2 linked regions of the Chlamydomonas reinhardtii genome follow. The protein of the gene in region 1 binds, or shares a complex with, the protein of each later gene. Links are inferred from orthologs where the notes say so. Each region holds a gene or a part of one and is shown on either strand. Other genes may lie near its edges.

Region 1 (6,965 bases):
ACACGCACACCCGCACACAACACGCACAATACCGCACACACGCCACACACGCCACACACGCCACACAACGCACCCGTGACGCTGCGCGCGATGCTGCCGAAGCAGGCGCAGGGCAGGAACAGGGCGCGGGGCAGCAGCGGCGAGGCCAGCTCCACTGTCATGCCTGCGTGTGTGTGGGGCGGGGGTGCGCGTGGAGGGTCGTGGTGGTGTTGTGTGTAGGGTGCTGCGTTGCGGTGTGGTGCAGGACTGTGTTATAGTTGCGATGTCGTGTGGTGTGGTGTAGGAGCGTGATATGGTGTGATGCCGTGTGGTGTAGAACTGCCGTGTGGTATATCGTGGTGCGGTGTGGCGGTGTGTGGTGTTGGAGGAGCACAAGGAGGCAGCAGGTCTGACTGATGTGTATTGGTGTGCCGAAGCCCGTATTTGTGTGTGTATGTGCGCGTTTCACTGCGGTGGCACATGAAATGTGCGCGCCACCCAGCAACGCGACCAGCAACGAGTCGGTCTGCATGTGCCTGTGCGTGCTCCCACCTCTCCCACTGCCCCCGCTGCTCCCACTGCCCCCTCACCAAGGTCGTTGGCGATGTCGGCGAACAGCCGCCACTGCTTGGCGCACGCGTCAAAGCTGGAGCCCTGGGCGGCAGCGGCAGGGGAGCGGCAGGGGCAGGGGAACGGGGGTCAACTTTATGATGATGCGGGGGCAGGGAGTGGGGGAAGCGGCCGGGGGGCGTGGCCGTAGAACCCCCCGCTTAGGACAGAAAAGTACAAGCAGTTCATAAATCCGTCCTTCGTCCTTCTGCCCTCTAAGCCACGCATACACTTGCAGTATGCCAGCCCTTTCCCCTGTTCCTTTCCTAGCAGGCTCGCACCTCGGCGTATGCGAACAGGATGCCCCCCGCCATGCCGGCCATGTCGCGCAAAAAGAACGTGAACACGGCGGCCAGCGGACTGGAGGCCTGTGCAGATGGTTGTGTGTGGGGGGGGAGGAGGGGGGGGAGGAGGGGTTGGGCAGGGGTTGAGGGAAATGAGAGGGGGCGTCAAGGTACTTGTGCGGGGGGATATGAGAGGTGGATGTAGTGTGGGAGTCGGTGGAGCTGAGGCGTACAGGGCGGGTGGAGGCGGCAGTGCAGGCAGGGGTGCAGGCGGGGGCGGAAGGGCACACGGAGCATTGCTGCCCTGCTGCCTGACCCCCCCCCTTGCCGCGCCGCCTGCCCAATTGCAGCCATAGCCCGGCCCCCTTGCTGCGCTAGTCCTAAACGCAGCACGCACAGCCCTTGCCACCGCCGTAGCCCCACCCAGCCCCACCGCACTGCCTAGCGCCTCCGCCCCACCACACCACACACCACACCACACACCACCTCCGGCCCTGCCTCGCACCTGCTGCCCCACGCCCACGCCCCGCAGTATGGCGGCGCTGGTCAGCATGCCGCGCACGTACGAGCTGAGGGCTTGCGCCGTGTCCCAGGCCTGGAAGCCTGGGGGGCCGCATGGGGAGGGGAGGGCGGTGGGGTGGGAGGGGACAGCAGTGGGAGGGAGGGGAGAGCGGTGGGGTGGGAGGGAGAGCAGTGGGAGGGAGGGGAGAGCAGTGGGGGGCAATGGGAGAGCAGTGGGGGGCAATGAGAGAGCAGGGGGAGGGTGCAGGCGGCTGGCGCGGGTGGTGTAGTGGCGTGTCGTGTCGTGGCGGCTGAGGCACCTCACATGGGTGCCTGGGAGCGGTGCGTGAGGGCACGTGTAGCGGGGGGTGGATGTACCAGTGTAGCAGGATAGTCGGCAAAAGACATATCTAGATGCCCCAGGGCGCCGTCCGCGTCCGGGTTATATACTTTTGTGACGTAGAACTTCTGTGTTCCGTCCACAACCAGCCTCAAAATTAAGTCAAACCCATTGCACAAGAGCGAGGAGCGCGTGGGGGACATGTGGGGACACGTGTGTGGGAGTACGGCAGTGGGCAGCACGTCACATGCCTGCAGGTGCGTGTGCTGCACCGCCCTGCCTGACGACTGCACTCCTGGCGCATGAACGGAACACGCGCCGCGGCGTGCCGCCGCCGTGCGAGAACGGGTGTGTTGCAGGCTCCCAACCCGCTCCCTCCTAGTCCCCACCCTCGCCCGCTCCCCCGCCACCCCATCCCCGTCACTCACTCAGGTAGTCGGGTGACACGGACTCGGGGAATCCCTCCGGCAGGAACGCGGCCCGCAACACCGACAGCACCCCCCAGCCCCGTTGAGCGCCTCGCGCCCCGGCCGCCGCACTGGCGCCGGCGCCCGCGCCGCTGCGCTCCTGCCGTGCTCCGGTCGGGCTGTCGCCGTCGCCGAGCAGCACCACGCTTCCGGCGACGTGGCCGCGATGATACTCTAGCAGCTCGATGCGGGACGGCTCCGAATCGGCTGCGTGGGTGGTTGAGGCAGCAGCGGCAGCAGTGCGTGCTGCGGGAAGGGCACTGCCCGCTTCAGCAGCTTGCCTCGGCGCCATGTCGGCTGCGGCGCTAAGCTGCAGTTACTATGCTGCTGGTGTATGAGGCCACCGCGGCGATATTATGGCCCGGCCCGGGTTTGGCGCGACATGCCCCGTCGTGCACTCGCCTTTCTGGAGCTTATTCGTCAGGACATATGTTTGATTCGAATGTTGTGAGGTCTTTTATGATGGGCAATTGCCATATCGGCGATTGATTTGCCGGCGAGGGTCAGCTGCAACATGGAAAACCAGACGTGCATGCAAGTCCTGTGCCTTGCACGTTGCATTTCGCAGTTCCTTATGATAACAATACTATTGCACATTTGTAAGCATCAACAGGACTAGCCAAACACGACGAGTTGTGAGAACCGGACCTTTCTTTTTGGCGGGCCTGGGCTGGCGTAGCTAAGCCATAAAGATGGAGGGCCTGGTGGCTCAGGTAGTGGCGCTTTCGAACCCCAATGACATCAACCAGCTACTCACCACGCTGAAGTCTTCCGAGGCGGTGTTTACCCAGAACTACCAGCACATTGCGGCTGCCCTTCAAACTCTGGACCCCGTGCAGCATTCCCTGGGCTTTGGGTATTTCCTGTGAGTGTCGCGCGCGCAGATCTTCAGCGCATGGCGTGCCTTGGGGCCCCTGCGTTATCGTGGCAAGCGGCAAAATGCTGACTGTCATATCTGGCTCGCAGGTACTACCTGGGGAAAGGCAACTTGCAGGCCCCCGATGTTGCCTTCATCGACAACGCGGCTCGCTTCTTCACCCTTTGTGACCCGGCTCAGATTCAGGCGGCGCCAGACGTCTGTGAGTGGACAGCGCCGGGGCAGAGGGGAGCGCGGCAGCGGGCAGGGGGCAGGGCGGGACCGGCGCGGGGAGGCGGTCGATAAGGCACGCCCCGCAGCCTAGGGTTTCGTGGCACGCAGGCAGGCACCGGAACCAGCTACTCCTGTCGCTCCCACGGCACTGCTTACAATGCCACTGCTCCTGCACCTGCACCTGCTACTACCGCACCTGCTACTGCCGCTCACACTACCGCTGCTGCTGCTGCCACCCGGGTCCGCAGTCTGCGCGGTTGCCAAGAAGCTGAAGGAGCATGTGCTGGCTGCGGGATCGCCGCGGCGGGGCATTCTGCCGCTGCGTTGCGGTCTGCGCGCGCTGCAGCCGGCGCCCGAGGTGCTCACGCCGCTTCACGCCGACTTCTTCCAGCTGTGAGTGGCGGCGGTGGGGGGGTGAGGAGAGGGAGGAGGAGAGGGGGAGGCGGAGGAGGGGGAGCGGAGGAGGGGGAGGCGGAGGAGGGGGAGGAGGAGGAGGGGGAGGAGGAGGAGGGGAGGCGGAGGAGGGGGAGGAGGAGGAGGGGGAGGAGGAGGGGGAGGAGGAGGAGGGGGAGGAGGAGGAGGGGGAGCGGAGAGGGGGAGGCGGAGGAGGGGGAGGCGGAGGAGGGGGAGCGGAGGAGGGGGAGCGGGGGGGGGGAGGAGGGGGGGCGGAGGCAGGAGGATGGGGGAAGAAGGAGGAGGAGGAAGAGGAGCAGGAGGAGGAAGAAGAGGAGGAGCAGGAGGAGGAGGGGGGGCTACGGCAGGAGGAGCAGGAGGAGGTGGTGGAGGACGAGGAGGGGAGGGGTGAAGGTGCGGGTGCCGGTGCTGTTGCGGGTGGTCTTCGGGGACGGTCTGGGAGCACGTAGTCTGAAGGGGTGGGGTTCTCCACCACTCCCACCAAGCCAGAACGGAGGAGCAGGAGGAGGGGGCAGTTTGGAGCGGGAAAGCACGACCCACGGCGCGTCAGTAGTCTTAGTTTGGGTTGGTAACTGCCACCCTTCCCCCGGTGCCCTCATGTTTCTCCCCACCCTCCCGCGGACATCGGTAACAACGCGTCTGCTATGCTGCTGTTCCTGGCTACGCCTTCACTTCTAAAACGCTTATGAATGTAACCTCCCCTCCCCATCGGTAACAACGACTACGTGTACCTTTGTACCTGGCTACAACTTCACTCCGTAAACTAAATGCATGTAACCCTTCCCCTCCCCCTCTGCGCAGCTGCCTGTTGTCGCGCTGCTACAACGCGGCGGCGGAGGTGCTGGGCCAGGACATCTACGACGTGTCGCCCGCCGCCACCACCTGCACCCCCACCGACCTGTTCCTGTACTGCTACTACGGCGGCATGCTGGCCATTGGTGAGGGCAGGGCAGCCCCGGGAGGGGAGGGGAGGAGGAGGGGAGGAGGAGGAGAATCCAGGGGGGGAGGGGGAGGCACGACGACGACGAGGAGGAGGAGGAGGAGGAGGAGGAGGAGGAGGAGGAAGAGGAGGAGCCCGGCAGACGAGCAGCAGCACCACCACAACCCACTGCTGCAACTGCAAGTGCAGCCGCTGCTACTATTGCTGCTGCCCACCGCGCAACACTCCCCTGCTGCCCGCGCCACCACAGGCCGCAAGCAGCACGCTCGCGCCCTGGAGCTGCTGCTGCAGGCGCTGACGGCCCCGGCGGTGGTGGGCAATGCCATCGTGGCGGCGGCCTACAAGAAGTACGTGTGCGTGTGCCTCATACACGCAGGTGAGGGCAGATGAGGAGAGGAAAGGAGGGGATTGGAGGCGGTTGAATGAGGAGAGCGGGGAGTGGGGAGCGGTGGAGGGGAGGAGGGTTTGCTGGACACAGACGGACAAGAAAGGGTAGGCAGGGCACGCTGTAGGGCACACGTGCGCCAGTAAGTGTATGTATGGACACACTGCCGCAGGCCTGCCATGCGCACAAGCCGCCCAGCCTCACTCCACATGCCCACGCATGCATTCCACTCAGTTGCCCGCGCCTCACTCTCACTCACACACACACACACACACACACACACACACACACACACACACACACACACACACACACACACACACACACACACAGGCCAGCTGCTGCCGCTGCCCAAGTTCACGTCCAGCTGTGTTCGGCACATGGTGGAGGCCGAGGCGCGGCCCTACGCCGACCTCGCCGCCGCCGCCGCCGCCCGACAGCCGGAGCGGCTCAGGCGCGTAGCGGACCAGCACGCGGCGGTGTTCGCGGCGGTGGGTGCGGCGCTGGGGAGGGGGGGTTACACGCATAAAGGTTACGCAGTGAACTCGTAGCCAGGTACAAAGGTACACAGTAGTCATCGTTACCGACGGGGGGGCGGGGGGGGGGCTGGGGGGCCGGAGGAGGGCTGCAGGCGAGGAGGAGGGAGAGGAAGAGGCAGAGGAGGCGGAGGAGGATGGAGGAGGGTGGGACAGGCACACCCACACAGACACGCCCACACGCTCCACAAACACACACCACACTCCTTCCTCCCCACCCGCCCCCCTACCACTTCCTTAACTAATCATGAATGTAACCCCCCCCCTCAGGACGGCAACCTGGGACTGGTGAAGCAGGTGGTGGCCAGCCTGACGGTGCGCTCCGTGCAGCGCCTCACGCAGACCTTCCTCACGCTGCCGCTGGCCGACATCGCCGCCAGCGCCGGACTGGCGGGCGCAGCGGAGGCGGAGGAGCACATACTGCGGTGGGTTGCGGGGCGGCGGCGGAGGCGTGGGCGGGCGCTGTGCAGGGTGGTGGGTTTCGCGTGGGTGGGTGGATGGAGGGCGGAGGGGTTTATGCGTGGGGTGGGATCTGCGGGGAGGGTGGGGCGTGCATGAGGTAGCGCGGGGGAATAGCAGATAGTGGAGTCCGTGCACCCGCCCGGTGTCGTGCGGTGCCGGCGGGAGGTTCCGCGGCACCACCACCACCACCACCACCACCACCACCACCACCTCCTCCTCAGTCCTCAGTCCTCACCGCTGCCGCAGCAGCAGCAGCAACAGCCGCAGCTTTGCCCGCTCATCCTTGCGCGCCTGTCCGCCACTGCTCCGCTCCTCACTTCCTGACGTCCATCGGTGTGTCATGACGTGGCGTGTCGCAGGATGGTGGCGGCGGGTCAGATCCACGCCAAGATCGACGGCCGCACCGGCATGGTGAGGGGGCTGCATGGGAGGGCCGCTGCTGGCATCGTAGTGTATTGCTGCTGGTGGTGGTGCTGCGGGGGCCGCGGGGCAAGCAAAGCCGGGGTGCTGTTTGATGCGCCCACCTGTGGAACCTGTAGCCGGCCACTGGCGCGGCACCTGCACGTGACGTGGTGTGTGCGGCGCATGCTTTGCGTGACGTGGCACATGAGCTGGTTGCGGCATCATGCTTTGTGTGCTGCGCGTCTGCCGCGTGTGCGTGCAGGTGCGGTTCGCGGACGAGACGCGCTCCTCCGGGCAAGCGGGCAGCAGCTCGGCGGCGGCGGCGGGCGGGTCGTGGGACAACGTGGCGGGCGTGGCGGCGCTGGACGAGAGGCTGCGCCAGGTGCGCGGGAGGCCACCTGTGTGGTGTGTGCGTGTGCGCGTGGGTGTGCGCGTGTGAGATATTTACCACAAGAGACAAAACCAAGCCCACCCAGACGGCGCCGGAGTTACGAGTATGTGTGCTGAGTGCGTGTTGGGAGGTAGGAAGTGGCAGGGATCGCCGTGGGTGCCGGGG
Region 2 (7,009 bases), about 3.1 Mb from region 1:
CCCTCCACCGCCCAGGACGCGCCGAGGTGGCTCGCTCAAATGTTAGTCCCAGGTTTGCGTACATTCATGGAATTAAAGCAGCTGTCGTGCGGCGACCGTCATGGCGGCACCAGTACCGTGCGATGTGTGCCCTGACCCACACGTGCCAATAAACACAATCGCCACGGTACGCACACACCCAGCAGGTTCAGGAGCAGAATCGTGAACGTGTGTAGTGGGGGCATTCCAGCCCTGCAGTCCTTTAGCCCCTTGTCTCAAGCTGCACTCCTGTGGCCCCTGCCTCACTCCTGCGTATTCAGCCTGCTTCGCCTACTCAACAACTGCCGCAGGCTGCGCACTACCGGTGACTGCGCGCTCCCCCTCGCTCGCAGCAACAGCTTGCCACTCTCAACCTGCCTTTCCGGGTTCCAACCAGCCGGCCAGCCATAAACAAAACCAGCCACCCCGGCGCTCACAAATCCAAGCAAGCGCCTACCCGTCCATCCCAGATGCCTAGGCGCCGCACCCAGCAGCTCCCACGCCCACATGCGCGGGTGCAACGCAGCGCTCTGCGCCGCCCACAACCTTCCTTCTCGCGAGTCTGCGTGCCTCCTCAGCACTGCTGCCCAGTTACCTCCGCCTGCTGTGGGAAGGGACACACAACCCGAGGGTCAGTACGGTCTGTGGCAAACACCGTCTGTGGGCACAGCGACACCAGCAGCCCCCGAAGCGCATCTTACGCCGCCACAGCATTCACGGCAACAAGAACTCGCGCCTCCACGCACCCCCAACACCCCGACCCCACGTCACACTCCGCCCCACCACCCCATCGCCCCACTGCCTCCAGCCCCTGCTGCACTCTCTGCTGCACTCTCTGCTGCGCCCTCTGCTGCGCTCCCTGCTGCGCTGCTGCCCCCCCCCACACACACACACATCCCCTGCTGCGCTCTCGCTCACCTCTTGGGCCGCCCCGGCGCCCGCTCTCCGCGCGCGCCGCCCGGCCCCATGATCATCATGCGCTCCTCGCGCTCGCCCGGCCCCAGCCCCAGTCCGGCTGTGCCCACGCGGTCCTCGTCCATCATGTCCAAGCCGCCCATCATGAGCCCCTCGTCCATCAGCGCGTCGTTGGCGCGCGCCTCGGCCTGAGGCGTTGGAATGTGGGATGGCGGTGTGGGGGGGTTGTGGTGTGTCGGTGAGTGGTGGGGTGTGGGATGTGGGGTGTGTGTTTGTGTGTGGGGGGTGGTGGTGGGGTGTGGGGTGGGCGGGTGGGGGATGAGGGTTCCAGGCAGGACTACCAGGTAGTGGCGGTCGCGGGGGAGTCGGTTCCAAAGCCAGAAGCCCAGTCTGGGTAAGTCTGGGTACGCAGCGGCCACGATGGAATTTTGAGCAGAGATTCACACATCCCTGCCGCACCTTGATGTTGCGCTTGGCCTCCTCAATGCGCGCGTCCAGCTCCTCCCGGTGTTGCCGCGCCGCGTCGGCTGTGGCGGTCGCGTAGTTGACCCGCGCCTCGATGGCGCGGAGCAGCTCATCACCCGCCGCGATCCTGTAATGTTTCGTTAAGGAACGTCACATGGTTTCGTCCTGGTTTGTGTTGTAGTGTGTCGAGTAGCGTTGTCGTCAGAAGCGGCCGCAGGTTTCGTCGCGCTGGACTTGCTTTGGGCGGCGAACCCCAGTGCACTGCACGGCTCCTGCTCCGCTCGTCTCCCCCCCAGCGATATCCGATACGGAATATACCATGAGCGGGCACCTGTACCTGGCCCACCCGCCAACTTGAGAGCTAGCAGCCGCATCCATGAATGCCGTAGCCCCATTCTCCCCCCAGGTGGCCCTTCCTCCCCCCCAGGTGGCACGCACTCACCAGCACGCCATGCGCTGTGTGATCTGCGGCAGGTCCTCACGCCGCACGTCCCGACCGATCACGTCGTGCACCTGAGGCCGGCGGCAGGCAGGCAGTGGCCGTCAGACGGCAGGAGCAGGTGTTGCATCCGAACGGCCCCGGGCCACGTCGGACAGGGGTCCGCTGGGGTCCCGGGCAGGCCAAGCATGCACGGCCGTGCCGTCACGTGCCCCGCACAAATTATCACCTCCCGCCCGCCTGGAGGACAGACACCTCAGCGCCCAACGCCCCAGCCCGTGGCCCCAACCCAACGCCCCAGCCCGTCGCCCCAACCCTGCTGCATCTTCCCCATACCCACCCTCACTCAAGCGTCATTCCGCCCCTGCCACCACGCCCCTCTTAACCCCCGCCCTGCATGACTCGCTGCTTCGCTTTCCGTCGCCCGCAGCCCGCCCGCCCGCCCGCCTCTGCCACCAAACCCCAAACGTCCCCTCCCCCGCGCTCCCGAACCGCCCCGCCCCAACGCGCCCACCTGCAGGCAGGCCTGCTTCTGGTCCAGCTTGCCGGCCGTGATGACTCCGGCGTAGAAGCAGTGGTTGATGAGGAAGTCCTCCAGCTCGCGCACACCGCTGATGGACACCGCGGACTGCAACTGGCTGTATGGCAGCACCTGCACGGGGGGGGGGTTACATTCATGACTATATAAGATGTGAAGGCGTAGCCAGAAAGAGTAATTCAGTATTATAGCAGACGCGGGGGGGGGCGGCGCGGCAGGAGGGGAGGGAGGGGGAAGTGGGCCCTCCCGCGACCAGGGGCAGGCATAGATGCGGGAGTCATGATGGTGACTGGGGAGGCACAGGACCAGCAGCTGCCTACTCTGTACTCTGGATGCGTCAAGCCTTGAAAAGTTCTGCCCGCACACCCACCCACCTTCTCCGACGCGGCCAGGGACGCCACCGTCAGCTGCTTGAGCTTGAGCGCCTGCGCCTCGCTCAGCGGCGGCAGGCTGGACGCGTTGGCTGTGGGTTATGAGGTGTGGGAGGTGTGAGAGGCATTATAGGCGATATCGACACGCGTGCGTAACAATGCGAGACGTGCACGTACACATCACAGAACGGCGGCTGACCGCAGCACGCTTGACACACGGCTCCACTTCAAACCCCTCGATAATACCTCTTCGGCCTAGACGGGCATGGACAACCGCACGGATGCCTTGGCACGCGCCAAGCGCATGCACATGTGGTGGTCGGAGCAACCGTTCCATTCCGTGGCAGGCACCACCAGTCCCCATCCACACCCGCGTGCGTCTCACCCTGGTAGTCGGACCACGTGCCGTATGCGAAGAGTTGTAGGAGCGCATTGTGGGACGCCAGGTCGGTTCCTTGCAGCTGCGCAGTATATGTGCGCGGCGCACGACTGTGAGACTCAGCTGAGGAAGGGGACGGCGTCCAACAAAGCTTCGCCCCGCCTGACACGCCGCACGAAACCCACACCCGGCACCACCCGTGCACCCACTCCTTCCCTCCATGGCCCTTGTGTGCGGGCCCATGCCCCCTCCATGGCAAATCGCCAGCGAAACTCACCTCCTTTACGCTTTGCACATCCAACAGCTCGCCGAAGCCAAACACAGCGGGGTCCCCGGTTGCCTTAGCGATGAGGTCCGTCAGGCCTCGCCCGCGGAGGCCCTTCGCCAGCAGCACATATTGCTGAATCTTAGCATCCTGGTCCATGATAACAGACCTCGCCTAGTGCCTCCAAAATGCGCAGCTAAAGACGTAGGAGCGGGATCTGCCCGCTAGTTCCGGAGACCAAGGAGCTCTCCCCTGCCTATCACTGCAGCATGGACGAGGACCTATCCGATGAAAGTCTTGCAGTAGTTAAAGGAGAAATGCTGGCTGAACTTCAGAACCCTCGGTTCAAGCTTATGGGCAATTCTATTGGCGCGGGCATAAATGTTTATGTTAAAGTCAAACTCTTCAGTATGAAGCTGTGCACGCGGAATGGCGTAGGGTCCTCGCGTGCCGACCGCATGATGAGTGCAGGCCCCCCTCGCTCTACGAGCGCTCTCCCGACCGTGCTTGACTGTGACGCACGCATTTATGTTTAATTAGGCGTACTTGGCACACGGCACAATTCATAGATCTGAGGGAAACGTACCACGCGACATCTTAAGCCTCAAGCGGAGTTACCTAGGGCCAGAACGCAAGTATGTCCGCTATGCTGGTTGGCCGGCAAGGCCTAGGTGTGGCGTGCTCTTCCCGCACGCAGTCGAAGCTATTTGCGAAGCCCCAGCCGGTGCAGTCGCAGAGGTGCGGCGGGCAAACCAGGCGTTGTCGCAGCCCCGCCCTGATCACCGCGGCCACGTCACTGCATCAGCTTAAGTTTCAGCCGATTTATTGCATTGCTGGCGGTATTGACGTGGCCATCGCTCGTGCGGCGCAGGGCGAGCATCGTTGTGCGGGTGACCCAGCAAAGCCCCGACACTAAGACCGTGATCACCAAGACTACCCCTGGCGAGCTGCCGCTGCCATGGTCTGAGAAGGATCCCTACAAGCTGCCCTCCTCTATCGAGAAGGTGCAGCGGATGCTCTTTGCGCTCGGTAGGTTTTTCGCGCTTCTGTTTTAGCGTAATAGCGCGACGTGCTAACATCCATCTGCATGCAGGCTGGGAGAAGCCTTGGATTGAGCAGATTGTGGACCGCACTATGAAGGGGATGCTGCGCACCACCGAGGAGCGCGCCAAGGGCGTGGTGAGTGAATGTTGACCCCTCGCGACGCTATGGACGCGTCTCGCTGGAAGAAGTGTTGCTAACGCGTCTTGGTCGGGGTACGCAGGTTGACTACCTGACCAGTGTGGGCCTGAAGCAGGATGAGATTTGCAACATGGCGTCCATCAGCGTTGTGCTGCTGGGCCTGAACCCGGAGACCCGCCTGAAGTCGGTGGTGGACTACCTGAAGCGGAGAGGCGTGCCGGGTGAGGCCAGCCAGGGGGCTGGGGTGTGCAGCTGGGGTCGGGCGCTCGGCCGAACGGGGTTAGGGTTTTGGAGGTTGCACGTGCACGGCACACGGCCGCGGACGGGCCAGCGCCAGTGCGGCGGGCAATGCAGCGGTCCTGGCCAGGGCACACGCCCCAAGCTGGGGCTGCAGGAGCCCAGGGTTGCGCAGCAGACAGCTCACCACCGACGGGCGTGGGTGGGAATGACTAGGCGACCGAACAGGGCGACCAGGCGACCGAACCGGCAGGGCAGGCGCCCGTGTTCACGGCGGCATCAGTGGCGAGCACACCACAGCTTTACACCAACGTAGCCCGATGCTGCCTCAGCAGCATCCTGCACGTCCGCCCGGGGGTGGCCTGGCCGTCACGGAGCCATGCGGCTTGCCACTCAGAACAGCTGTACGCACTCCCACCCGGCACCAACCAAGCCCGGGTTTGCTGCCTGTCCTTTGCTGTGCTCCTGCAGACTCGGGCATTCCCGACCTGGTGCTCAAGCACCCGCGCATCTTCGAGTACAAGCTGTCCGCGGACGGCTCGGAGCTGGTGAAGGGCCGCGCCCGCATCCAGGTCAGCGCGCGCGGCGGGGGAGCAGGCGGCGCGGCGGCCCTGGGGATTCAGGGGGAGGGATGTGCAGGTCGAGGCACGAGAGCTGGATGAACAGTGGGGCTGCATGGCCGTGGCCATTGGGGTTGGGGTTCGGGCCACAAGCAGGGCCGCGGCCGCCGGGTTGCGTGGGAGCCACATGAGGTGGTGATGACGTGGACAGGGCCTTCGCACGACAGGGACTTGAAGGCAGCAAAAGCTTCAAACCATGCGCCGAGCCGGTGCCATAACAGCAAACAGATACAGACGCACACGCATAGCCGTATTACCATATGCCAGATGGGCCGCGCAATTTTAACCGCAACCTTGCCCGCCCGCCTGCCCGCGCGCACGTGCACGCACAAACAGGTGGACGTGGTGCCCGTGGGCGCCAACGGCGAGCAGGCGTGCGCCGTCAACTACTTCCGCGAGGGCGCGTCCTTCATGGAGGCGCCCGTGTCGCCCGTGGGCCCTGTGCGCGCGCCCTAAGCGGCTGGCGGCGGCGGCGATGTCAGCAACAGCAGCAGCGGCAGCAGCGGCAGTCGGTGTGGCGGGTGCGGTGGCTGTGGTGGAGGAGCTTTGGTGCGGCGGCAGGTGGTGTTTGAGAGGCGGAGCGGCTGGCGAGCTAGCGGCGAAGCGGGCACAGCGCTGGTGGGCGAGCGGCTGAGTTTGGGACTACGCAGAAGCTGCAGCGGTGCGCCCTTGGCCTAGGCCTGCCACGGCAGCGGGCTGACCGTAATGTATGGCTGCGCCCGGTGGGGATGCGCGTCAGGGCGGTCCCCGGCGCGGAGCAGCCGTTGTCGCTGTCCTGTTTCGTAAAACTATGGTTGCGTGCAACGAGCTGTTGGCGGGGCCACGCCGTGCGTCTCAAGGCTGGGGATGCGGAGACGCGGACAGTGCGATTGGGTCTCAAGTCAGGCTGCTAACGGTTTCAAGCGGATTTCGAACGCGTTTGTGTGGCGTGCCGTGTCACCTATGGCGTGTGTACGGGTTAATCCGTGCTTTCAAATGGGAAAGCTATTCAGGTTGCAGTTCTAGGCGGATGTCACAAGGCGGTGTGGAACTGCCGCGCAAGGACCAAGGTAGTGGACGAGGAGCGTTTTGGGCGGACACGGGTAGGCTGCTAGGTCATAGCGGACTGGGTGTGGTGTAATCCTCTTCCACGGTGCATGCCATTCAAGTGCCACGAAGACGCGGTGAGGAGGCTCTGGAGGCAGTCACTTGTAACAAAATTGCGAGTACAAGCGACCACCTTCTGTACCAGTACGCCGATCGGATTGTACCCTGGCCGACCCTGGCCGACGCCCCCAAGCGCCTGAAGTATTGCAAGCACATTGCATGAAGGTTACAAGAAGGGACAATGCAACCAAAGGGATATTCAAGCCAGACAAGGGGAAACCACCCTGCCCTGGTTCGCAGTCTACCTCCCACAGCTACGCGGTACGCACAGACAGCCTAGACCCCGCCGAACCCGCCTGAGCCCCGCCTAGCCCGCCTGAGCCCTGTCAATCCACCTACACTCAACCGTCATGCGTTTCCCATCCACCGGATGCACAGGCAGGGTCGCGTCCAGTTTCCTCCAACACATGCCGCCCACATTCCTCCAGGGTCAG

Evidence for each region.
Region 2: CHLRE_16g671100v5 (region 1) and CHLRE_16g651500v5 share a complex: the UniProt entries of both Arabidopsis thaliana proteins name them as parts of the CSN complex. The link is inferred for Chlamydomonas reinhardtii from reciprocal best matches to the Arabidopsis thaliana genes COP13 and FUS5.

The regions. Positions count from the first base shown.
Region 1 is NC_057019.1:4,417,111-4,424,075, forward strand, and holds the start of CHLRE_16g671100v5 (uncharacterized protein), read left to right. Parts: upstream 1-2,768; 5' UTR 2,769-2,872; coding exon 2,873-3,045; intron 3,046-3,146; coding exon 3,147-3,259; intron 3,260-3,518; coding exon 3,519-3,663; intron 3,664-4,485; coding exon 4,486-4,622; intron 4,623-4,874; coding exon 4,875-5,000; intron 5,001-5,342; coding exon 5,343-5,500; intron 5,501-5,815; coding exon 5,816-5,970; intron 5,971-6,366; coding exon 6,367-6,418; intron 6,419-6,671; coding exon 6,672-6,791; intron 6,792-6,965. Other genes in the region: CHLRE_16g671150v5 (uncharacterized protein), read right to left, coding at 74-163, 570-633, 870-956, 1,378-1,475, 2,142-2,472. UniProt on the Arabidopsis thaliana protein: Component of the COP9 signalosome complex (CSN), a complex involved in various cellular and developmental processes such as photomorphogenesis and auxin and jasmonate responses.
Region 2 is NC_057019.1:1,300,709-1,307,717, forward strand, and holds CHLRE_16g651500v5 (uncharacterized protein), read right to left. Parts: upstream 3,800-7,009; 5' UTR 3,550-3,799; coding exon 3,403-3,549; intron 3,208-3,402; coding exon 3,132-3,207; intron 2,839-3,131; coding exon 2,750-2,838; intron 2,490-2,749; coding exon 2,352-2,489; intron 1,912-2,351; coding exon 1,841-1,911; intron 1,526-1,840; coding exon 1,393-1,525; intron 1,122-1,392; coding exon 937-1,121; intron 623-936; coding exon 610-622; 3' UTR 43-609; downstream 1-42. Other genes in the region: CHLRE_16g651550v5 (uncharacterized protein), read left to right, coding at 4,028-4,128, 4,262-4,419, 4,484-4,569, 4,655-4,793, 5,281-5,381, 5,766-5,885. UniProt on the Arabidopsis thaliana protein: Component of the COP9 signalosome complex (CSN), a complex involved in various cellular and developmental processes such as photomorphogenesis and auxin and jasmonate responses.